Saccharomyces cerevisiae S288C: one gene and its partners. The gene in region 3 interacts genetically with the main gene of each other region. Each region holds a gene or a part of one and is shown on either strand. Other genes may lie near its edges.

Region 1 (6,332 bases), 220 kb from region 3:
GTAACTGCAGCTTGTATCATAATTGGTGATGAAGTGCTGAATGGAAAAGTAGTTGATACAAATTCCACTTTTTTTGCGAAGTATTGCTTTGATCATGGAATTCAATTAAAAGAAATTGCAACTATAGGGGATGATGAAACCCAGATCGTAGATACTGTGAGAAGATTAGTCAAAAATTATGATTTTATCATCAGTACAGGTGGAATCGGCCCCACTCATGACGACATCACTTACGAATGTATGGCGAAAAGCTTTAATTTGCCTTGTGAACTAGATGAAGAATGCAAAGAACGAATGAGGCATAAATCTGACCCTGAAGCAAGGCTTGATGCAGATGCTCTAAAGGCGCATTACCAAATGGCAACCATGCCAAAAGGCACAAACGTCAAAAATTATTATGTGTGTGATGACTTGTGGGTACCTATTTGTTCTATATCTCACAAAATGTATATACTACCCGGTATCCCTCAACTATTTGCAAGGATGCTGAAAGCGTTCACTCCCACGTTGAAAAAAATATATAATTTGGACAAGGATCCACGTGAGTATGTTCGTTATTTTGTCAGAACACACCTAACTGAGTCTCAAATTTCTAAAGAGCTAAAGTTGATTCAGGATGAATCAACAAAAGTTTCAGAAGCCATTAAAATAGGCTCATACCCACATTTTGGTATGGGATTCAATACAGTTAGTATTTTGGGTGAAAAGAAAGACGATTCATATCTGAAGAGTATTGTCAATAGAGTTGTTAATAACCTCGAGGGAGAAGTAATTTCTTCTGAACTTGAAAACAAGTTCTCGAACCAGGAGAGCTGAATACCCGAGTATTTAGAACTATGTATAGATATAGATTTTTTTTTTGGGAGCAAAGTCATCTCAGTCATCGCCGGTAGTTGCGCTTTCTTCTCAACAAAAAAGTACACTGCTCGTGGTAGAAAGGTACCTTGAAAAATTAAAGATCACATTGCTACTGTTAGAGCTTCAATCGCTAAAGTAAACATTTGAAAAATGCATATCCGAAAGGACCAAACCAGCAAAAGGTATATAATTCATTCAATAGATACAACTGCTCCATGAAAGGAAAAACCTTCATTTACGGTCGCGTTTTTTTTCGTGATATAAAAAAGGTAAAAAAAACGCGTCGCGTTAGAAAAAAGGTGTGTGTGAAGAGAAAGACCCATTGAATGGAGAGTTCGGTTCTTGGGAATTGCACTGAGCCGTGGTGAGTTTGTTGCTTTACTACATCTCTTCTTTTATAAGCAACGCTTAAGCTGAACCTAGTCAACACACATAACTGAAGTCAATTTGACCAGGTGCAACTGAAACCTGGATTGGAATTGGTATTCACTTGAACAAAAGACTCTGGTAAAATGTCTGAACTCTCTCAAATGACATTGAAGATCCTTTACACATTGGATAATGGATCCAATGGTAGTTATTTAGCCCGCTCAAGGGCTCCAAAACAGGTAAGAGTTGCTAATATTCCTAGTCCATTCCCGACAGATTCGAATGAGCAAACGGAGTTGCGAATTGGCGCCATCCATTTGAAGACTATACTGCATGAAATATACTTAAATTCACCTGAAGTGTTAGACCATGACACTTTAAAAGATGGATATGATTATAACTTGTATTATCGTGACATATGTGAAGTGGATGAGCCATTAGTAAGCCTTGGTCTTCTTTCCGGGCTTCGAAAAAAGTTTCATAAGAATAGCCCCTACCAGTATACAGAAAACAATATTGGTGAAGAAGAAAGTGAAGAGAGAGATGAGGTAACTGAAGAAGAGTATGAAGATGAATCTTTTATAGTTACTGGAAGGGTATGCTCGAATGTTTCCGCTTTACTACGAAGATCATATAGCAACATCTCGAATAAAAAGGGAAGGGTCGTAAACAACCAAATTCCGGAAGAAACTTTGGAGGTTAAACTAAGATTCACAAAAGTTATAACCAATTTAAGGACGTCTGGTAACAATACTACAAATTCTCGGATATCGTGTCTTCAAATGCCGTCTTCTTTACCATCAGCAACACTTCCGTTTACCCCAAAATCGCAATCTCTTTTCAAGACAAACCAAATAAAAAATTCAAGGAATGCAAGGACCACGATAACAATAAATAATACTAATAGCGGGACTGTGGGAAGAAGACAGACGAATCCTATGCCTGCTCCAAAAGCTGTCAGAACTCAGTCTTTACCCATCTGGAATCTTAAACCAAATATAGCGAATACTGGTTTCCCAAGAAATTCAATTGCGCACAAAATCTACTTAGCAGATAGAAAAACAGAAGCCAATCAACAAAACAACCAGCATCAAAACATAGCTTACGAAATAAATACTTTGCAAAACGATAATACTATTCAGAGGACCAAGATCGATGATTCGGTAAGCAAGAGGTTCGATTTTATGCTCAACAAAAGAAAGTCTACGAAAAAAGTGTCACCTGGTATAGCAACGATAGCAAAAAAACCAGCTTCAATAAACATAAATCCAAAGCAACCGCCGAAGACTAGTGGTGAAAAAAAAGCAAATGATAAGCAAACGATTGTCAAAGTTAAGAATTCGAATTCCAAAAATTCGGCTAAGTCTACACAAGCAGGATGTAGGCGATCATCAGTGATAGAACATTTAAATGATCATGACGATTCAATTTTAAGTGACATTCTATCGGAACCAGGCATTGAAGGGCAGAAATTGCAGCAAAAACAAAAGGGGCGTAAGATATCTTTAACTAGTGAAAATGATAAAGAAAATATTCCACCCCAAAGCATAACTAGTAAAGAGAACAAGCTTGAAGGTGACTTGGATTTTAACGCTGAGTTCCCCATGAGTGACTTTTCGGATGTAGTATTTAAAGATGAGATGGGATGGTTTTCCAATTTCAATTGCAATTTTTTTGAATCACCAACTTCTGCAAGTGCATCACAACTCAATCAGCAAAATTTGAAGCCTTCTATAACACTCAACGATCCAAACACCTGTAACACCATTGCTCTCGAAAATGAAGATGTCAGTGAATTGGAAACAGCGCAAAATAATAAAATATCTTTGCCTAGCGATGTTGACAAAACCTCCCCAATAGACTCGTTGTCTATACCTTTAATTGAACTTACACATTCAAGCTCGACAACAAACATGCAGCGTATATCCATTAAAGAAGGATCGACACTAAATATAACAGATAGTAATAATGCCACCCCATGTGATAATGATATAAAAGATAGAAAGGCATCTGTAATAGATTCGGACAATACAAAACCTCAGGCAGGGCTTATAAATTTCTCTACTCCAGCTGACCAGCCAGCTTCTGATAATAATGTTACAGCTTCGAAAAAGCTTACTAGCATGCTGGAAACTCAGCAAAGTAAGAGATCTCATGAAGAAGTTTTGGATGAAGAGGAAGAGGAGGAAGCCCTCAAAAAGCAAAAGGCAATACCGTCTTCACCATGTGGGATGTTCAATTATCATCAACCCATGGAATTATCTGAGGACATAGTTGAAGAAGAGCAAGGACACAATATCGGCGATGATAATGAAAGCGATAAGACCAACGATTTATTCTCAACATTCATCCATTCAGGAATAAGAGTAAGTCAGGTAGTAACAAGTCCCATCGGTGAATTTCAGTCAATAAAACACTGAAAATATTACATGAACTTATTCCTAGCACAGCATGTATATATATATATATATATATATACTCAGATCATACATGTAGCACCTTATAGAGAACAAAAAGAAGTATTTAATTAGCATTTTCATGTCGTTAACATGTTATCGCGTTCTGCAGCCTTACGTATAAGGTCGCTGGCATTCAAAAACGAGCACATATACTCATTAAACTTCTCCCTATCATTAGCGGAAATTGTCTCCTTGAATATAGGATCCATTTCTACCTCCACTTCATGGGACGTGTATTGATGGGAGTTCCTTCGCGTGGTAGTAACCTTTGTCAAATCCAAGTGTAAAGGCATTTTATCATTAAAGGTGTAGGTGGAACGGCTTTTGGTTCTTTGTAAAATAAAGCCATTCCTGAAAGCGGCAGAAGTTTCGTATTCAGGCACTTCAAGGCTGATGCTAATTTTAGCGTCTAATGAACTTTGAGGATAGCGAATGAGAAAATCCTTGACCCGGACCTTTTTGATGTAAGTAAGTTTAAGTTCTTTGTTTCTAAGGTCTTCCGAACAACGCCATGAAGTTAATTTGCCAACTTTCGAGGCATTGTTGCAGTTATATATAGAATCTTTCGTATACTTTTGTACCTGTTTTACTACTCTTGGGGCACATTTACTTGGATTCTCCGATTTTGAGCGGAGTAGCTCCTGGAAACTCGAGAACATTTGCTCAGGAACGTTAGACACTAAGCGGCCATTTCTGTTTTGAACAATAAAGGGCTTGTTGTGTGGTGTCATCCTGCGATGTGTCCTTTTGTCTGTTATAACACCAAATTTCATTTCGATTTCAATGTGTGATATCGACGATTTATCAATACAAGCAAGATATTTCCATGCTAACTTACAAACATGTTTATGGAATTCTGTCGCACCTCTTGAATTGTTTCTTGTGGTTTTGTATAAAGCTCTAGTTGATGTTAATGGCTTAGTGGTTTCAGAGATATGCAAGCTTCTGAATTTCGAGGCAACATTAGCGTCAGCTTTCTTTGCGCCAACATTTTCATGAGAATTTCTACTATTGGAAGGAGTCTCGGGTTGGTCAGACATATCTTAAACTTCCTATAGTGTTTTCATTTTTCCTTTTCAGTGCTTTTTTTTTCTTTCCCATTTTGCTGGTAGTCAACAAAGTTGTCTTAAGGAAAAAAAAATAAAGAAAATATTGAAAACTAATAAGTTTTTTTCCTGTAAAAGTGTATAAAATATATAGGAGATCCCGTCAAATAATAGAAAAAAAATTTTTTGCCACATATACCTGTAGCCCCAGGAATACTGAAAAAATGGAGTAAAATGAAATGAACAATTCGTCGTGAAGAATACAAAGAAATATTAAAGAAATTTCGACGTAATACATAGTTCAACCGATTAATAAGAAATACCCAGAATAATAAGAGAAAGAAAATGAAAAAAGGAAAAGAAGCCCCATGTCTGTAGTGAACGTGTTCTCGTTAGTTATTCAGAAGAAGCTGGACTGAAACTCTTCGAAGTGTAGGGATTGAACTTAACTATCTTTTCCTCTTTAGGAGTGGAGGAATACGTTTGGGAGATTTGTAACTGGGTCAATAGTGCTTGTTCCATGTAATACTTGTCAATTTCCTGGTATACCACTTGTTCTTCTGGGGTGAGCAAACTTCTTGGACAATAAAAGATGTCGTCTTCGAAAGTTTTACTGATGTTGTTTTTGTACATTATGGTGTTCATGCCGTCTTGTTGGGTAGTGAATTCATCACTAGAACTCACCCTACTGTTGTTGGCAGTGTTATAGCTGAAAATGCCCGAGTTATTTTTACTATTGGGTACCGAGGGAGAAGAATAGAATGACTGAGGGCTGGTGAGGTTGAATTCATGTTGTTGGATGCTTTCCGTAAGGTAGAGGCTTGTGTTCATTTTTGCTTCCGCCTGCAAAAGTGGAGTCATTTTTTTTTTGTTCTGAAATCAGGAGAATTAGAGTAGGGGGAAGGTGAGTAAATATAAGGGGTCGAGGAACAAAATCCTTATAAACAATCCGTAGAGTAAAACGCTGCTTGTTATCTTACAGCAATGTAATAACAAGCAAGAAAGATAAAGCAATACGAACCAGTTGCTACTTGGTGGCACAGACGTGCGAATTAATTAAGGTTGTGTGGACAGGAAAATAGCGTTTCCCTCGAAGGGTATTGTTCTTGTTCTTTTTATATTTTCGGCATTTTTATGCTCGGCATTTCCCAACAGAAGCGGATATATTTTAAGGGCGCGGAGATGAGCCAAACGGCAAGCGATATCAAAATATCTGCATAATAACGGCAATCAACGCGCACGCGAATGGCCAAGAGGGTACAATAGCAGCAATGATGCGGCTTGTGAAATGGAGGAGTGGGTGCGGTAGAGCTTATTTTTTTGCGTTTGGTGAAGCGTCCTTGGCCTGGTCAAAACTTTGCACCTTAGACGGCGATGCTGGAGTGTCACTGCTATCTGGAGGGAGCTCTACAATGTTGTGGTTTTGTATGGGAGTGTGGTTCAGGAAGAGTGGTTGCATATAGCTGTATATTGGTAGTGGAGGAGGCTGATGCGGCAATGGTATGGGAGCAGATGGCATAGGATGAGGGAAGTATGGTGGTGCGTAAAGAGATATAGTGTCTTGTGGGCTAGCAGGAGTTGATATGGGCAGATTGTATGG
Region 2 (7,741 bases), on a different chromosome or scaffold from region 3:
TTTGAATACCACCACCAACGGCATACACGTCGACGAATGCTGTTCGAGCCTCCCTACGGATACAGGAGATATATGGTCTCTAGGCATCATCCTAATTAATTTAACTTGCATAAGAAACCCATGGTTAAAAGCTCACCAGAAGGAGGATAACACATTTCAACATTTTGCTAACGATAATAATGTCCTGAAGAAAATCCTTCCTATATCAGATGAGCTGTTCACAGTGTTGACGAAAATTCTACAACTAAATCCATACACAAGAATAGACATGAAAACTTTGATGTCCGAAGTTTCCTCTCTTACTTCTTTCACCAGGGAAGGGCCCTTGTCTCAAGTTCCAATCCTATCGAGCGAAGTTTACATGACGCATATTATAAGGAATGAAAACCTATTTTTGAGCGATTTATCACATTTTTCTGCAGACCAAGAACAACAACAACAACAGCAACAACAACAACAGCAAGTCCAAGAACAAGAACAGGAACAAAAACAAGAACAAATACAAAACCAGGAACAAGCACAACAGCAGCAAGAAGAGGAAGATGCTGAACCGGAGAGTGATATTCCATCAACGTATAATAGTGACGGAAGTATGGAAAAGTATGAATACACTAACAACCACAATAATAGTACCTTTTTAACTTCCTCAATGGACAGTACACCTTACCAATCTGATATCGATGACGTTAGTGCTTCCAAAGATTGCAAATTCCAACAAGATACATTAAGAAATAGGCTATTATGCTTACAAATGAATTTTTCTACTTTAACAGACGGTCCAAACGAGAAATGGTTACCAGATTATTGAGCAGGTCTCACCTTTATACTCACTGTATTATCTTATGTTCTAATTCGGTAATAGCTTCACCTTTTCTTTTTATCTTTGAGGTTTGTTTTTTTTCTAGTATCCTACTAGGATGGCTATAAGCAATGGCTGGAACGATTTTCATACTTTTTTTACGAACTTACGACTTTTCAGTGTCTTCTTTGATCAAAAGGAGATCACTATGGATATATATGTCCTACATAACTAATTACAATAATGATAGAATGACAGAACTTAGTCACTTTTTTTGTTTCTCAGCCCGGCGACGGCGCATTTGAATGGGTGGAAATCTTCGCTGATACCAGGTTGACAGTCTTATGATACGATTTTTTCGTCCTTTGCTTCCCCCGCAATAACCTTGCCTTTCCTCTATTTGCCGCGTTAGTAAAAGACCTTTCACAGCATCTGTAAAGTTCCTTTAATCGCATTGCAAAATACCAGGGCCTAAATGGAACTTCCTCAAACTGTCTTTCCAACCTTTCTAAGGGGTACATAAACTTTTGATATTGGATTTCCATCGATTCCCAAGGACTTCTCTTTATTGGACATTGCTTGCCTGTGACTTTTATAGGCGGCTTATAATATAGCACAAGGTCGGGCAAGTAACAAAATACAGCACTTCCTCCATTCTTATCAGGGTAGTAAGAGACTGAATCCCGAATCTCTTTTTCATTAATAACAATTTTGTTTTCTTCGATTTTCATGTTCTTGGTGGAAGAAAAAGTTTCCAACCAAGAATTGAGTTTATGTAATAATGATTCTGGGACAGGTGGCAATAAGGTAACACCCTCTCTTTTTTTCAATTCCATTTTATGATTTGCCGTTTCAGTTCTAGAAGTTTTCAAAGCAGAGTTTCGTTTGAATATTTTACCAATGGATTTTGAAAATCGTTTACCAGCACTAAATTCATGCTTGGATCCCGAATGTTGGAACAGGTGCTTAACACTCACAATTTCGGGATATTTATTAGGACCATCATTAGTACATGCCATTTCCTCTTTCCTCGCCACCAGATTTTAAGGCAGTTGATGTTTGCTTCCAAGGGAGAAAAGGAACTTATAACGGTTAAAATTAATAGAGCCTGAAGAGAATGAAGGCAGCCAAGACATTGATTAACATCCTACAATTGTAGAGCAGTCAAACGAGTTAATACCACAAATGTCAGTAATTAGTGGAACTTGTGCAAGTATCACCCGGCCAGCTTGCCAAGGCGGAAAAGTAAGTCAAAAGGCACACCTCAGCGTTTGAGTACCTGAAAAACGATGAATCGCAAATAAAACTTTAAATTATGCCTGTTATACATAAAGCCATTTATATATTTATGTATTTTATGAAAAAGATCATGAGAAAATCGCAGAACGTAATCATATCTTTTCAATGACAATAGAGGAAGCACCACCACCACCATTACAAATGGCGGCAACACCGATCTTACCTCCTTCTTGCTGTAAGATGGATAGCAGTGTAACAACCACTCTAGCACCAGAACAACCCAATGGGTGACCTAGAGCAACAGCACCACCATATACATTAACCTTAGATGGGTCTAGCTTCAAAATCTTAGTGTTCACCAAACCGACAACCGAAAAGGCTTCATTGAATTCAAAGTAATCAACAGAATTGATGTCTTCGATGCCAGCATGTTTCAAAGCCTTTGGAACTGCAAGAGATGGAGCCCATGTAAAATCAGCTGGTTGATGAGCGGCCTCACCCCAACCTTTGATAATAGCCAAAGGCTTCAAATTCTTTTCCTTCAAAACTTTTTCGGAAACCAAGATGACGGCTGCAGCACCATCGTTGATTGGAGAAGCGTTAGCGGCAGTAACAGTACCGTTTTCTTTTTGGAAAACAGTCCTTGCAGATCTCAATTTTTCAACGTGTAATCTAGCAGGTTCCTCGTCCTTCGTGACTTGAGTATCAGGCTTACCTCTAAATCCCTTAATGGTAACAGGTACAATTTCATTGTCGAATTTACCTTCCTTTTGAGATTTTTGAGATTTTTGGTAGGATTCGATGGCAAAATTGTCTTGTTGTTCTCTAGTAATATCCCAATCACGGGCACACTTTTCTGCGTGTACACCCATGGCTAGACCATCGTACGCATCGTTCAACCCATCTCTTTCGACACCATCAACAAGAACAGTTTGGCCAAATTTGGCACCCGCACGGGCTGCTGGCATGTAGTATGGTGCGTTAGTCATAGATTCACAACCACCAGCTACGACAACATCAGCATTACCACATTTGATGGATTGAGCACCCAAAATGATTGCCTTCATAGCGGATGCACAGACCTTGTTAACTGTGCTTGCAACGATATGATTACTCAAACCGGCAGCCAAAGCAACTTGTCTGGCCGGAGCTTGGCCCAAATTGGCAGAAAGAACGTTACCAAAAATAATTTCGTCAAAATCCTTGGATGCATCCAATTCTGGAACCTTAGCCAAGGCGCCTTTTAAAGCAACAGCACCCAATTCCACTGCTGTCTTGGAGGATAGAGAACCCTGGAATGAACCAATTGGGGTTCTGGCAGTCGATACAATGTAAACGTTCTGAGACATTTTGAGTACGTCTAATCTGTATAAATATATATGATATGGCGCTTGTTTTAGGCTACCTTTTTTCAGAGAACTAGAAAACGAGTAGGCTTAGCAGTGCTCTTAATGGAAGCGCTTGTTCCTCTTTTATATATTTTACTGCCCTTTGCTCAACGGTGGCCTATCAACCTGGCCACGAACGTGTGGTGGGCTAGTAGTACCGTACTCTCCAGCGAAAAAACCGGCTTGGGCGGTAAACGACAGGCACCTCGTTATAAGTGACGTGCCTGTTAGGAAACGATAAACCCGGCAGGGCACAACAATGGCATCATACCAGAAATGTATCATGTTAAGGCTTTCAAGCAGTGTAGCTGTTTCTATTTACAGGATATATCGTAGATTATGTACGCAATCTTCTTCTCGAAGATGAGAGGTGACCTCTTGTAGAACCAAAGGGCTTATGTGCGTAAGGATTCTTCTTTAATCGATCAAGTTTCTCGAAAATAATCATCTCACAGAAATACTTCAAATCTTTAGCAGATTCCATGTCAATGAAGTAGTTTGGGTACCTGTTGCTGAGCCAGAAGTATAGAGTAATGATGTTGTACAATGACTCATAAACCTCTAATGAATAACTCTCATTCGGTATGCAATTGTAGTCCAGTAGGTTAAAAGGTAATCGGTATGACAGTAGGCCTCTTGTATGCCTTTTTGCTATTGTTTCGCAAAATTTGGTGAACGCCTTTGTGACCATAGGCATGTCCTTCACGGGCGCATTGCTTAGTTTCAGCTTGTCGAAAAATGGGATATCTTCCATGTGCTCGAATAAGCCAATAACTTTCAGTTTGCTCTTTAAATCAGATAACGTGAACAGGTTGTCAGAACTTTTCTCTAGCTCATCTGAAATAGTCTGCAGCAGGACACTGGTCGGCGTTCCTGGTGGGAATTGTGTCATTAGTTGAGCACATATTTCATCTGTAGGCCATGTAACCGCAGTTTTTAAATACTCCACAGGTGCTTCAATAGCTTTTCTTACACTTTTCAAAACTTTTGATTCGAAACTGGTGATAAAACCCTGAGGAACACCCCCGGAGGCAGATCTAGATTTGAACCTTCCCGCACGACCACCTATTTGTTTGATTTGAGAAGAAGTCATTTCCATTAGTTCTTCACCATTATATTTCATATTTGTCGTGAATACAACTCTGTCAATAGACAGGTTTAAACCCATACCAATAGCGTCTGATGCTACCATTATGTCATACTCTCCATTGTTGAATAGGGCGGCTTGTTGAACACGTGTTTCAGGCGGCAAAGAGCCATAAATTACAGCAACTTTCAAATTGGTGTCTTTCTCTATCTTTAGCTTGAGATCCAATATTTTCTTCTTTGAAAACGCAACGACGCAATCTCCTTTGCGCAAACCTTTGATGCCATCTTTGATAGGTTTTTCTTCAACACTTAACTTTCCTAACCTCTCATATTCATTAATCGTTAATTTATCGCCAGTCATTTTAACAATGCTCTTAACCAAAGGTAGAACACTCTTTTCACCACAAAGATGGACCTCCTTGGAAACGACACCTAAAAGCGCGTTCGTCCAAGCCCAGCCACGATCCCCATCAGACATCATTTGAATTTCATCAAGAACAACAACGTCAAATTTTTGATTTATTGGCACCATTTCTACTGTGCCTGATGTCAGCCCTGCTGAATTTCCTCTATCATCCAAATCACGAATAACTTCCTCTCCAGTCAGTAAATTGCATCTTATCTTTTCTGCATGAAATCTATCGTACACTTCCCTTGCTAGCAGTCTTAACGGCCCTGCGTAGTACCCACGGTCCACGGATTTCAATTTCTGTAACGCTCTATAAGTTTTGCCTGAATTCGTGGGCCCAATGTGCATGATTATATGTCTTCTAATCTTTCTTGCCTCCGGAAACCACTCTGCTGGATTTGTTATGTCAACGTTGTGAGCGCCATCTGTATCATCTGTATTCGTCATCATGGGTAGTATCTCCTGCTCGTACACATGGTCGAAGGTCTGTTGCAGGACGTGGATAAATTTATCCAATGTAGTTATATTGTTACTCAGGCTATATTTGAGAACAGATTTCCAGACTAAATTGCTGATTTTATTGCAATTTATCAGCAACGAAATCAAATTGCCAGGAGATGAAGGATGTATGATCTCACTTACCGAAGGTACATAGGTTTTGGCTTGCAGTTTCGGATCTTTTAGTTGTTGATATATGTAATCTCTTAATTTCAACCAAGCAAGATTCTTTATTGGTACTTGCTTGGCATCCAAGGATGACAATTTATCGTTATAGATAAATTGCATCGCTTTATCAAGGTTATCTTTAAATGATGAATCCTGTAAATACACATTATTGCTTTCGGACTTGTTAAAATTAAACTGGAATATATCTAATTTTGAATGTTCATTTTTGGGTAAATTTAGGAATTTAGGTCTTTTCACAATCCAATCCTTATCATGAAATAGATCGATGCTATGCGGCTCGCTGTGGTAATATGCTTTCTTGATGGACACAAACAGTCGCAATGATCGGAGTGGAAAAAAAACTGTGCTGTATTTGACAAGTGCCATGCTAGTATACTCTATCGGCACTTAAATCTTCTTTCTTTTCATAGTTGAACCTCTTTCTTTGAAAGTATCAAGTTTCTGCATTTTGGCTTCTCATTGTCTATGCATCGGGCGAAGAAATTATTAACGCTGTTTACGATGGACCATCAATTTTTAAGTAAAAATGAAAAAATTAGATAAATTGTATAGTCTTATATGTACGTATGATATTCTAATTAGTCTATAAATGAACGCACATACAAATAATAGATGATACATCTATTTAATGGTTTCTTGGGTTTCTTTTCAATAAGGACATTGTGTTCTGAATCCACCCTTCAGCTCCACCGTCTTCCCAAATCATATCGTACACTGCTTGCGTTGGAAAATGCTTTAAGGTTGCATTTTCTACACCTATGATGGCTGCATTTCTTGTGCTTGGTATCCTTAACATCTCTTTCTCTACTTTCCAGCCTACACGAGATGAAATATATTCAACGTGATCAACCAAACCAGAGTAGGTGCTCTTACTGTTATTCTGGTTTTTGATTTCATTTGACCTAGGCGAACGTTTCCTTACGTTAAAACGAACTCTCTGGCCAGAAAAATTATGAGAGCAACAAGGTATAACCATATAAGGATGACCTAGTAATGGGATCCAGCAAGTCAACTCATCTGAGTGGTTACCTATAATAAAAGTATCTGGTGGGAACTCTGCTGTATTGACCTGCGGAGATTTTAGTAAGTCCTCACTTGAATACACGACGGTTGCGGGGGCAATCACTTCGTGCGTCACCTTGACTGGGAAAAATCTCCCATTGTGTTCCAAATGAGGTACTTGTCTTTTCAAAGCAGGATGGGGTCTTAAAAGGATAGAAGGTATTATAACTTGCTCCTTTAACGATGATTGCACTTCAGGCGGGTAGATAGACCACGATTTGCGCTTCCTTGCATCTATGCCGAGACCTTTAATACTTTCACTCAGTAAAATATAACAAAGAGCACCATTGCCGCATCCCAAATCTCTAAATTGCATTTTTGAACGGAAGTCTGGACCGTACACTTTAATCCATAATTCAATCAGGAAAGCGGCAATGGCTATGTCTTCAAAAACATGTTTTTTTGGGTCTGTAGACTCTGCCCAATTCTCCACCAGGAACTTGGAGTATTTTTTCTTCAAAACAATGTATGTGTTCTGAAAATTGACTTTATTTACCACTTGATCGTGATTGACCCTCTTTTCATAACCCTGCATCACACCCTTTGAGTGTTTGTTAGCAGTTTGTAATAACCTATAAGCGGTTCTTACAACACGCTCAGATTCATCTGTAAAGGCAGTTTTATCCTCGGGGAAGGGAATGTAGTGTACAGAAAGAACTGACTGGTGTAACAAAATGCCTACACTTTGCGTTCTTGGAATATAAAACGGACAGTCTTTCTCAGAGTTAATGTGCGGCGTATATACAATCAATGAGGTCTCCTGAAAATTAGGGTCTTTGCTATTTAGGATTAAACATGTTTGGTTTATGATAGCATCTTTGTAAAAATTCCTAGGAATGATCCTTCTTACAAATTCATGAACGGGTGACAATTTTAAACTCTCAGATGTTTCACACGACCTTATGTTTAAATCTTCAATATTTATCTTCTTGACATCTTCTTCACCGCTTTCATTACCATTATCGATCTCAAACTTTTTTAATACGGACTCGTCAAATTTTGGCTCAGACCCAGCTTCTGCAGCATGATTGATCTCTTTCAAAATATCCGCTCTTAATATGACAGTAG
Region 3 (9,796 bases):
CATATCTATAACGTTACATACAATATTTGGTAGGGTAGGGTATTTGATGTAATATTTATTATTAAGAACTTTTGTCGTGCTAAACGTTGTACTGTACAACTATTAGCAAGATATTTATGCACGACAGTAATCTATAGTTGTAACTCTAAATCACACACCATAGACAAATGATCACTTGCATATTCTCCAACATGTGGTTGTCCATGCTTTGTCATTTCATTACCGGGCGGCATTCTCAAAAAACCTCTGCATTTAACTTTATTTTCTTTTTCAAAATCGCCAAGGGTTTCCACTTCCTGACAATTACTTTGTGGGTCCCATTTCTTTACATAAAATAGATAGTCTAATAAACCACGCCAAGTGTTTGCCCAATTTGAAATTTCAGGCTCACCTCTATCATTATCAAGACCTGCATTTTCTGGATGAACATTCTTATACCCAACAGAGTATAGTGAAATAGCCCTCATATCCAATGAGTTATGGAGTTGTGCCATTTTATCTACGAGTTCAGACTGTTCTTCATTAGCATGAAATTTTTCAGGAACGGGGCTCTCAGGTTGATCTTTACCATATTTTTCAATATTCCCGCCTTCTTCGTCATCTGCACCTTCTTCGCCATCACGGACCTTGGAAAACTTATATGAAGTGCTGCACCCAATGACGGTCTTTGCCCTGTTTCTATAGTGCACTGGTTTGGATGTCATAGATAAATATGGTGTGTCGAACGGCTGGGAATTAAAATCACCACAGAAAAAAGGAAACCAATGAGATAAATCCCCATCATTTTCGTTCTGTAAAACATTCACACGATGCATGAATTCCTTCATCTTTTTTAAAACAATATAGCATTGTCTTGTTCGTTCATAAGTACCAAATGGATGCCAAAATAGATGCGTAGTGCCGATCAAGATACCGCATTTTTTAGACGATTTTTTACCCAAATTCGACAGTACTTTCTCAGAAAACTTCAAGGCTAAGACTAATCCCACGTTGTTTGTCGTTGTTCTAGTGGAAATGCTTTCTGAACTTTCTTTATCATAGTCGATTAGCATTTTGTCAACCTGGTGAAATAATTCTCTCCTCCACATTATCGCGACACCATGGTTTTTTGTAGCATTTCTATAATATTGTCCATCGTATCCCAATTTACTGAATTCATCTTTCCAAAAGCTTTGAAACTGAATATGATCAATCTCTTGCAAACAAATGACATCGGAATTATAATATTTAAACTCGTTTAAGAGAACTTTAGAACGCCTGTACCATTTTAAAGCGTCACCACTATCCGGGAACAGCTTTCTGCGGATTAGAGCTTGCGCCAAGCAATTATAAGTCATTAGCTTGAATCTAAATCCAGTTACTGGCTCTGCCTCATGTAGAGATAGGAAAGGTCTTCTGATAAAATGCAGCTCTGGCGGGCAGTCCGGATCAACACCTTGAGCCAACATTGCATCTCTTTTAGCCTTTCTCATAACTTCCCTTTCGGCACGAACCTTAGCGATATGTTCTGGGGTCACTATGGGCTTCGATTTTTTACCTTTCTTGCCCTTCTTTTTATGTTGAAGTAACGAATCATCATTGGTTTGATGTTTTGCATCTTTTACAGATTTATTAATTTCTACTTCTTGGTCGGGCGCAACATCTGGGGCAACCACTTTGACTTCTTTGTCTTGTGTCATATTTACTTAATACTCTTAACTACAATTAAGAAGCTATAAGGAGACTACAATCTCATCTTCTTGCAACACTACTTTTCCTTTCCTCTTGCTTTAGTGCAACCATTTTTTGAAAAATGAATGGTCTTTCTGCACGAAATATCTCTCGAAGAGCTTTTCTAGATATTAAGGATAAAGTATATCATCCCAAAAGTTAGGTGATGGAATCAATATTGATGGACCAGCTAAAACACGTTGAAAGCAGATATCAGGAATGGTGTTTTACAAAGTCACGTTGAGTAGGTCGCTTATCGGTGTGCCACACACAACGAAGAGCATTGTCAAAAGTTTGGGTTTAGGTAAAAGAGGGTCCATAGTCTACAAAAAAGTAAACCCGGCCATAGCTGGCTCCCTAGCTAAAGTAAAAGAGTTAGTCAAAGTAGAAGTAACAGAACATGAATTAACACCATCGCAGCAACGAGAGTTGAGAAAGTCAAACCCTGGGTTTATAGTGGAGAAGAGAACCATCGACTGAAACAGCGAAAATAAGGCAACTGGATTTCCTTTCTTCTTGATATTCCTGACTTATATATGTATATAGTATTATTTTTTCCTGCATAGGCACATATGTTAATAGTAATTTATGCAATTTTTGATACAAAGAAATCAATACACTATCTCGATTTCATATTTTATGTATGTATATATTTACAAGAAGAAAATTATGCATGGTCTATTGAATTTTATATTTGGAAAAAGAGTCCCTTTTTATAGCTTTTCCAACTCTAACATTCCTTCTAAACAGTCAATTTTTGAAATTTTACAATTCTTCACGATATCTCCAATCATCGGATAATGCATAGAACTTGGATGCAATTTTAATGTTCCTCTAGCGAACGATAAGTCTGGAAAAACACATCCAGTAAATCCGTTCTGCGGTACTGATGTTACCATTACATCGAAAGTCCTTTCTGGCTCTAGTTTGGTTAGCTTTTTTAAATAATTCAGTGTCCAGTACGTCGACGAATTACGGCTAGCCCTTTTTAAAATATCCGCTCGAGATTGAATTGGCCAGATCAAACTGTCGATTTGTGTTTGATTAAAACATAGAGGCTTTTTCTGCAAATGACGGTGAATTTGTAGATGATTTATCAAGTCTGGAAAACGACGAAGAGGGGATGTTACTGTCAAATATTGTTTAGCTCCAATCATTTCATGTCTAAAAGGTCGACCTGTATAAAAACTCGAGTTCAACAATGAAGAAAGCTTAACGATATCTTTTAGCTTGGGAAAAATTCCTTTTTTTGTACTTGTTATCATAGAATCATACTGTTGTTGTGCTACTTCGCCCAGTGGTAACTGTTTATAACATCTGAACACACCACCGATTTTGTTCTCCGCAAAATATCTACCCGTTAAAGTATTCGCCAAGATCATCATTTCTGAAACCAAAATGGTAGACAGCGTCTCCTCTTGATCCGAAAATGTTACCTCAGTCAGTTCTCCTTCTGAATCGGCGTTTAGCATCACTAGGCCCTTATTAAAGCCCTCCCCGAAAATAACAGCATTACTGTTTTTTATACGTTGTTCTCTCAATAATTTGGAAATCATGGACAAACTTTCCAAATCCTTTTTGACAGGTGATGCTTCGCTATTGGGTGTACCGAGTATCCTGTCAACATCTTCATAAGTGGCCTTTGGGAAGTTGGACACAATGCCTTTCCGGATTTTAAAACTGTCATACATAATTTCAATTGATTTTCCACTGCATTTAGAAGTGATTTTAACATCAACAGAGAAGGATATAGTTTTCGTCCTTTGTCCTTGTTTCCCCAAATCTGATAAGTGACAAATAGATTGAGGTAACATAGGAACAACCGTATCTGGTAAATATGTGGTAAATGATCTTTTCAAGGCAACATTTAGGATATCTGTACTTATACCCTCAATATCAACATTAGTGCTTTCCGGAAACATAGAAGTTGGATCCGCAATATGAATATATAAAGTGTACAGTCCATCTCTACCATAGTTTTTCACCGACACGCCGTCATCAATCTCATGCGCAGTTTCAGAGTCTATACAAAAAACCCTAAGATCGCCAAAATCGTACCTATCGTCATCAGTGCCGGATTTTTTCCATTGCAATTCTTCTATATTAGTTAAGTCGTAGAGTTTTTGTTGCCATTTCACTAACTTCGAGGAAGCAGGTAATGCTAAATCCATGTTAAGTAACAATGGATTGGGTATTGAGTTGGGTGTTATCTCATTGATTAAATCTTGACATATATCTCTTGTGATGTCACAATCCTTATAGCGTTCTATCTTTCTGAATATTTTTGAGATCAAAGCTACTATAATTCCGTTATTGTGAAAATTCCCAGCAGCAAAATCTTTCAATAATTGGATCACAGAAGGATATAAAGCTGATATATCGCGATATTTCCTTTCATTCACCAATTTTACAAACTTATTGACCTCTCTATAACTGTTGGCTTCTAGCTTCTCTATCACCTGCGCATAATATAAATGTTGTGATTTTAAGGGAATAATCGTTACTGATATAGGCGACAGCAACGCTGTATTCAGATGGATTTCCCCCCAAAGGTTCGATTCCTGTTGTTGCATAATCGCCCAGTACGTGGAAACAAAGGTAGGTGAATTTATTGGTATATCGTTTACAGTGTGATAGTTATTAACTAAACTAGTTAAGTAATTTATTCCATTTTTATCGTCCAAGGCTTTATTTAAATCCAATTTCTGAACTAATCCGACTAGGGTAAAAAAAGGAATCTGCCATGGACCCATATAATTTTGTAATGATCTGTGGAGTAACTGTAATTTTTTGGTAGTAATGGGCAAATCTTTCCAGGCCAACTTTGAAATTTGGGCTGGATACCTACTTGTTATTAGCTGCCTTGCTACAATAGGCAAAATATTCGTTTGGTTAGAAAAGTTCTTAACGGTTCCAATTGGCAAATGTTTGTGATGGCTCTCAGGCTGTATAAGTGAATGGATTCCAGCAGGTAATTTGTGAGGAATCCTCAATAACACCCGGTTTTTGGTCGCAAAGCACATAGTTCCATCAATAGTAACAAAAGTGTATCGAGGATCCATAGTGCTACTTGGAAGACTTACACACATCGCCAATTCATTGGGTCTCATTTTTAAAAGAACAAAGTCACCAACATTTAAGGGACTTTCCATTAGCTGAACAGGTTGAAATTCCATTGGGTTTGGAGCTTTCAGTTTTGTTATTAATTGAAAATCTGAATTTATTAACTTGTAAAGCGGAATTTTTGGTTTTGTTAAAGACCTCCAGGAGTTTACGTACCAATCTTCGGAAGGTTTAACATACCTATCTTTATAACGTTGGTTAAATTCCTGTTTAATTTGAGGCAGTTGTTTTAATTCAATATCAGGCTCTAATCCTTTTGTTCGTTGCAGAAAGTCTTTGTTTATTGATTCTATATCTTTCTCCGGTCCAACCGAACGGTCTACAACTGTCTCTGTAGCTTGATCATTATCTAGCTCTCGTGTGTGATCTAGTTCTACTTTTGCTTGCTGCTTACTCTTACTTCGCTGTCGTTTGCCTCTGGTAGTTACTCTGAAGCAAGGTGTGTAGGAATGAAAGCTCCTTGCAATTAGAAGAACATGTACTTTCCGCCTAACTACCATCACCTGTCTTTATTTATTCCGCTGACAGATATGCACAACCAATTATCGTCTCTTGAAAGCTTTTTAGACGTGATTGCTGTTATTTGGCACGTTGTTAGTATTTAAGCTTATTCGGGTTTGCATTGATATTTGCCCGAGCAGAAATCTCCTTCTCGATGAGTTAGAACTGAAACATCTCTTCAATTACTTATACATAATAAACATAGAAAGCCAGGACCTGTCATCATGAGTCATCCGATTCAATTTGTAAACGCTAATAATAGCGATAAGAGCCACCAATTAGGCGGTCAATATTCTATTCCTCAGGATTTGAGGGAAAACCTGCAGAAAGAAGCTGCACGTATTGGTGAGAACGAAAAAGATGTGCTACAGGAAAAAATGGAAACTAGGACAGTGCAAAATCGAGAGGATTCATACCACAAAAGAAGGTTTGATATGAAGTTTGAGCCGGATTCCGATACACAAACTGTTACGTCTTCAGAAAATACCCAAGACGCTGTCGTGCCAAGGAAAAGAAAATCTCGTTGGGATGTAAAAGGGTACGAGCCACCTGATGAATCTTCAACAGCGGTCAAAGAAAACTCTGATAGTGCTTTGGTTAATGTAGAAGGAATCCATGATTTGATGTTTTTTAAACCTTCTGACCATAAATATTTCGCCGACGTTATATCCAAAAAACCCATAGATGAGTTAAATAAGGATGAAAAGAAAGAAAGAACCCTGTCGATGTTACTTCTGAAAATAAAAAATGGCAATACAGCGAGTAGGAGGACTTCTATGCGGATTTTAACCGATAAAGCTGTTACATTTGGTCCAGAAATGATATTTAACCGCTTATTGCCCATATTACTAGACAGAAGTTTGGAAGACCAGGAAAGACATCTAATGATCAAGACCATAGATCGCGTCCTTTACCAGCTAGGAGATTTAACAAAACCTTACGTTCACAAAATACTTGTAGTAGCTGCCCCATTGCTAATAGATGAAGATCCAATGGTTCGTTCAACAGGCCAGGAGATAATCACCAATCTGTCTACAGTCGCTGGCCTAAAAACCATTCTAACAGTAATGAGACCTGATATTGAGAATGAGGATGAGTATGTTAGAAATGTAACTTCAAGAGCGGCGGCTGTGGTGGCAAAAGCCCTTGGTGTTAATCAATTGCTTCCTTTCATCAATGCAGCATGCCACTCACGGAAGTCTTGGAAAGCAAGGCATACTGGCATAAAAATTGTGCAGCAAATAGGTATACTTTTGGGAATAGGTGTCTTGAATCATCTTACTGGGCTGATGAGTTGTATCAAAGACTGCCTAATGGATGATCACGTTCCGGTGCGAATTGTTACAGCACATACTTTATCAACACTAGCAGAAAATTCTTATCCATATGGTATCGAAGTTTTCAACGTTGTACTGGAGCCATTATGGAAGGGTATAAGAAGTCATCGTGGTAAAGTGCTATCTTCTTTTTTAAAAGCTGTTGGATCTATGATCCCATTGATGGACCCAGAGTATGCCGGTTATTATACCACAGAAGCAATGAGAATAATTAGACGTGAATTCGACTCTCCCGATGATGAAATGAAAAAGACCATTCTTTTAGTATTACAAAAATGTAGCGCTGTAGAATCCATAACGCCAAAATTTCTGAGAGAAGAAATCGCGCCAGAATTCTTTCAAAAATTTTGGGTCAGACGAGTGGCATTGGATAGACCATTAAACAAAGTTGTTACATATACTACTGTTACATTAGCAAAGAAATTAGGTTGTTCTTATACCATTGATAAATTATTAACACCATTGAGAGATGAAGCTGAGCCGTTCAGAACAATGGCTGTCCATGCTGTTACTAGAACAGTAAACTTATTAGGGACAGCAGATTTAGATGAGAGATTAGAAACGAGGCTTATTGATGCGCTCTTGATAGCATTTCAAGAACAAACAAATAGTGATTCTATAATCTTTAAAGGGTTTGGGGCAGTGACGGTGTCACTTGACATCCGTATGAAACCGTTTTTAGCACCCATTGTGAGTACGATTTTAAATCATTTAAAGCATAAAACTCCCTTGGTTCGTCAACATGCAGCAGATCTATGTGCCATACTAATACCAGTCATCAAGAACTGTCACGAATTCGAAATGTTGAATAAATTGAACATTATATTGTATGAATCCTTAGGCGAAGTATATCCAGAGGTATTAGGTTCTATAATCAACGCTATGTACTGTATTACTAGCGTAATGGATTTGGATAAACTACAACCTCCTATTAATCAAATTTTACCAACCTTAACTCCAATTTTAAGAAACAAGCATAGAAAAGTCGAAGTAAACACTATCAAATTTGTTGGACTTATTGGTAAATTAGCACCTACCTATGCACCTCCTAAAGAATGGATGAGAATATGTTTTGAACTATTAGAACTTTTGAAAAGTACAAATAAAGAAATAAGAAGATCAGCAAATGCCACGTTTGGATTCATTGCTGAAGCAATTGGACCTCACGATGTTCTTGTTGCGTTATTGAACAATTTAAAGGTTCAAGAACGTCAGTTACGTGTATGCACGGCTGTTGCTATCGGTATCGTTGCTAAAGTGTGTGGTCCTTACAACGTGCTGCCAGTAATCATGAATGAATACACAACACCAGAGACTAATGTTCAAAACGGTGTTCTCAAGGCCATGTCATTCATGTTTGAGTACATTGGTAACATGTCTAAGGATTACATATACTTCATAACACCATTATTAGAAGATGCACTCACCGATAGGGATTTAGTTCATCGTCAGACAGCGTCGAACGTAATAACCCACTTAGCTTTAAACTGTTCAGGTACAGGTCACGAAGATGCCTTCATTCATTTAATGAATCTTCTAATACCCAATATTTTTGAAACTTCACCACATGCTATTATGCGTATTTTAGAAGGTTTGGAGGCACTGAGTCAAGCTCTTGGCCCTGGACTATTCATGAACTACATATGGGCAGGATTGTTCCATCCAGCGAAGAATGTAAGGAAAGCATTTTGGAGGGTGTATAATAACATGTACGTAATGTACCAGGACGCCATGGTACCTTTTTACCCCGTTACACCAGACAACAATGAAGAATATATAGAAGAACTGGATTTAGTTCTGTGAATATATATAGAGCATATAAATAACCACAACTTGTAAGAATATTTTACTTGACACACCTATATCATCACGTCACGATGCCTTCATAGATTATGATGAAATATAAACAGAACCTGCTATTGGAAAAAAAAGGGCAGGAAAAAATTTTGTGAAAGTGAGTAAAAGAAAGATGAAGAGCGAGACATGGATAATAAGAAATAGATGTCACTAATGGACAATTGGAAGACTGATATGGAAAGTTACGATGAAGGAGGCCTAGTTGCTAATCCGAACTTCGAGGTTCTGGCCACTTTCAGGTACGACCCTGGTTTTGCACGCCAGTCAGCGTCAAAGAAAGAGATCTTTGAAACTCCAGACCCTCGATTAGGTTTGAGAGACGAAGATATTAGGCAGCAGATAATTAATGAGGATTACTCAAGTTATTTACGAGTAAGGGAGGTTAATTCCGGCGGTGACCTTCTCGAAAATATTCAGCATCCTGATGCTTGGAAGCATGATTGCAAGACCATTGTGTGCCAGCGTGTAGAAGATATGCTACAAGTCATTTATGAACGATTTTTTTTATTAGATGAACAATACCAAAGAATAAGAATAGCATTATCATACTTTAAAATTGACTTCAGCACGTCTCTGAATGATTTATTGAAGTTATTGGTTGAAAACTTGATTAATTGTAAAGAAGGAAATTCAGAGTATCACGAAAAAATTCAAAAAATGATCAACGAAAGGCAATGCTATAAAATGCGGGTACTTGTCTCTAAGACAGGAGATATACGAATTGAGGCAATTCCAATGCCTATGGAGCCTATCCTAAAATTAACAACCGATTATGACAGTGTTTCCACATACTTCATCAAAACGATGCTCAATGGATTTTTAATTGATAGCACAATAAATTGGGATGTTGTTGTTTCATCTGAACCATTGAACGCATCAGCTTTCACCAGTTTTAAAACCACTTCAAGAGATCATTACGCTAGGGCGAGAGTTCGCATGCAAACTGCTATAAATAACTTAAGAGGTTCAGAACCTACTTCTTCTGTCTCGCAATGCGAAATTTTATTTTCCAACAAATCTGGCCTGCTGATGGAAGGTTCAATAACAAACGTGGCTGTAATTCAAAAAGATCCTAACGGTTCTAAAAAGTATGTGACACCAAGATTAGCAACTGGATGTTTGTGCGGAACAATGCGTCATTATTTATTGCGGCTCGGCCTTATTGAAGAGGGAGATATAGATATAGGAAGCCTTACCGTTGGCAACGAAGTTTTGCTTTTCAATGGCGTCATGGGATGCATAAAGGGAACAGTGAAGACAAAATATTG

What was found. Genes that interact genetically often act in the same process or in processes that back each other up.
Region 1: mutations in DSS1 (region 3) and CTL1 together harm fitness more than expected from each alone (negative genetic interaction), as found in Saccharomyces cerevisiae (2 studies listed by BioGRID).
Region 2: of DSS1 (region 3) and SUV3, extra expression of one rescues a mutant of the other (dosage rescue), as found in Saccharomyces cerevisiae (3 studies listed by BioGRID, with this or other methods).

What each region holds. Positions count from the first base shown.
Region 1 is NC_001145.3:618,488-624,819, forward strand, and holds CTL1 (polynucleotide 5'-phosphatase), read right to left. Parts: upstream 4,727-6,332; coding exon 3,764-4,726; downstream 1-3,763. Other genes in the region: FPY1 (flavin adenine dinucleotide pyrophosphatase), read left to right, coding at 1-816; SPT21 (Spt21p), read left to right, coding at 1,371-3,647; YMR181C (uncharacterized protein), read right to left, coding at 5,129-5,593; RGM1 (Rgm1p), read right to left, coding at 6,045-6,332. UniProt on the Saccharomyces cerevisiae protein: Probably involved in an RNA processing event other than mRNA capping. Releases gamma-phosphate from the 5'-end of RNA to produce a diphosphate terminus.
Region 2 is NC_001148.4:493,742-501,482, reverse strand, and holds SUV3 (ATP-dependent RNA helicase SUV3), read right to left. Parts: upstream 5,978-7,741; coding exon 3,764-5,977; downstream 1-3,763. Other genes in the region: putative serine/threonine protein kinase SKS1, read left to right, coding at 1-808; SMA1 (Sma1p), read right to left, coding at 1,081-1,818; ERG10 (acetyl-CoA C-acetyltransferase), read right to left, coding at 2,191-3,387; TRM44 (tRNA (uracil) methyltransferase), read right to left, coding at 6,237-7,741. UniProt on the Saccharomyces cerevisiae protein: Required for intron-independent turnover and processing of mitochondrial RNA. It is a key control element in nuclear-mitochondrial interactions.
Region 3 is NC_001145.3:840,013-849,808, forward strand, and holds DSS1 (exoribonuclease II), read right to left. Parts: upstream 5,334-9,796; coding exon 2,424-5,333; downstream 1-2,423. Other genes in the region: NGL2 (RNA exonuclease), read right to left, coding at 132-1,679; mitochondrial 54S ribosomal protein uL30m MRPL33, read left to right, coding at 1,930-2,190; U2 snRNP complex subunit HSH155, read left to right, coding at 5,559-8,474; aminodeoxychorismate lyase ABZ2, read left to right, coding at 8,673-9,796. UniProt on the Saccharomyces cerevisiae protein: Essential for mitochondrial biogenesis. Required for intron-independent turnover and processing of mitochondrial RNA. Participates in 3' mtRNA processing where it hydrolyzes single-stranded RNA or partially double-stranded RNA with 3' single-stranded tails.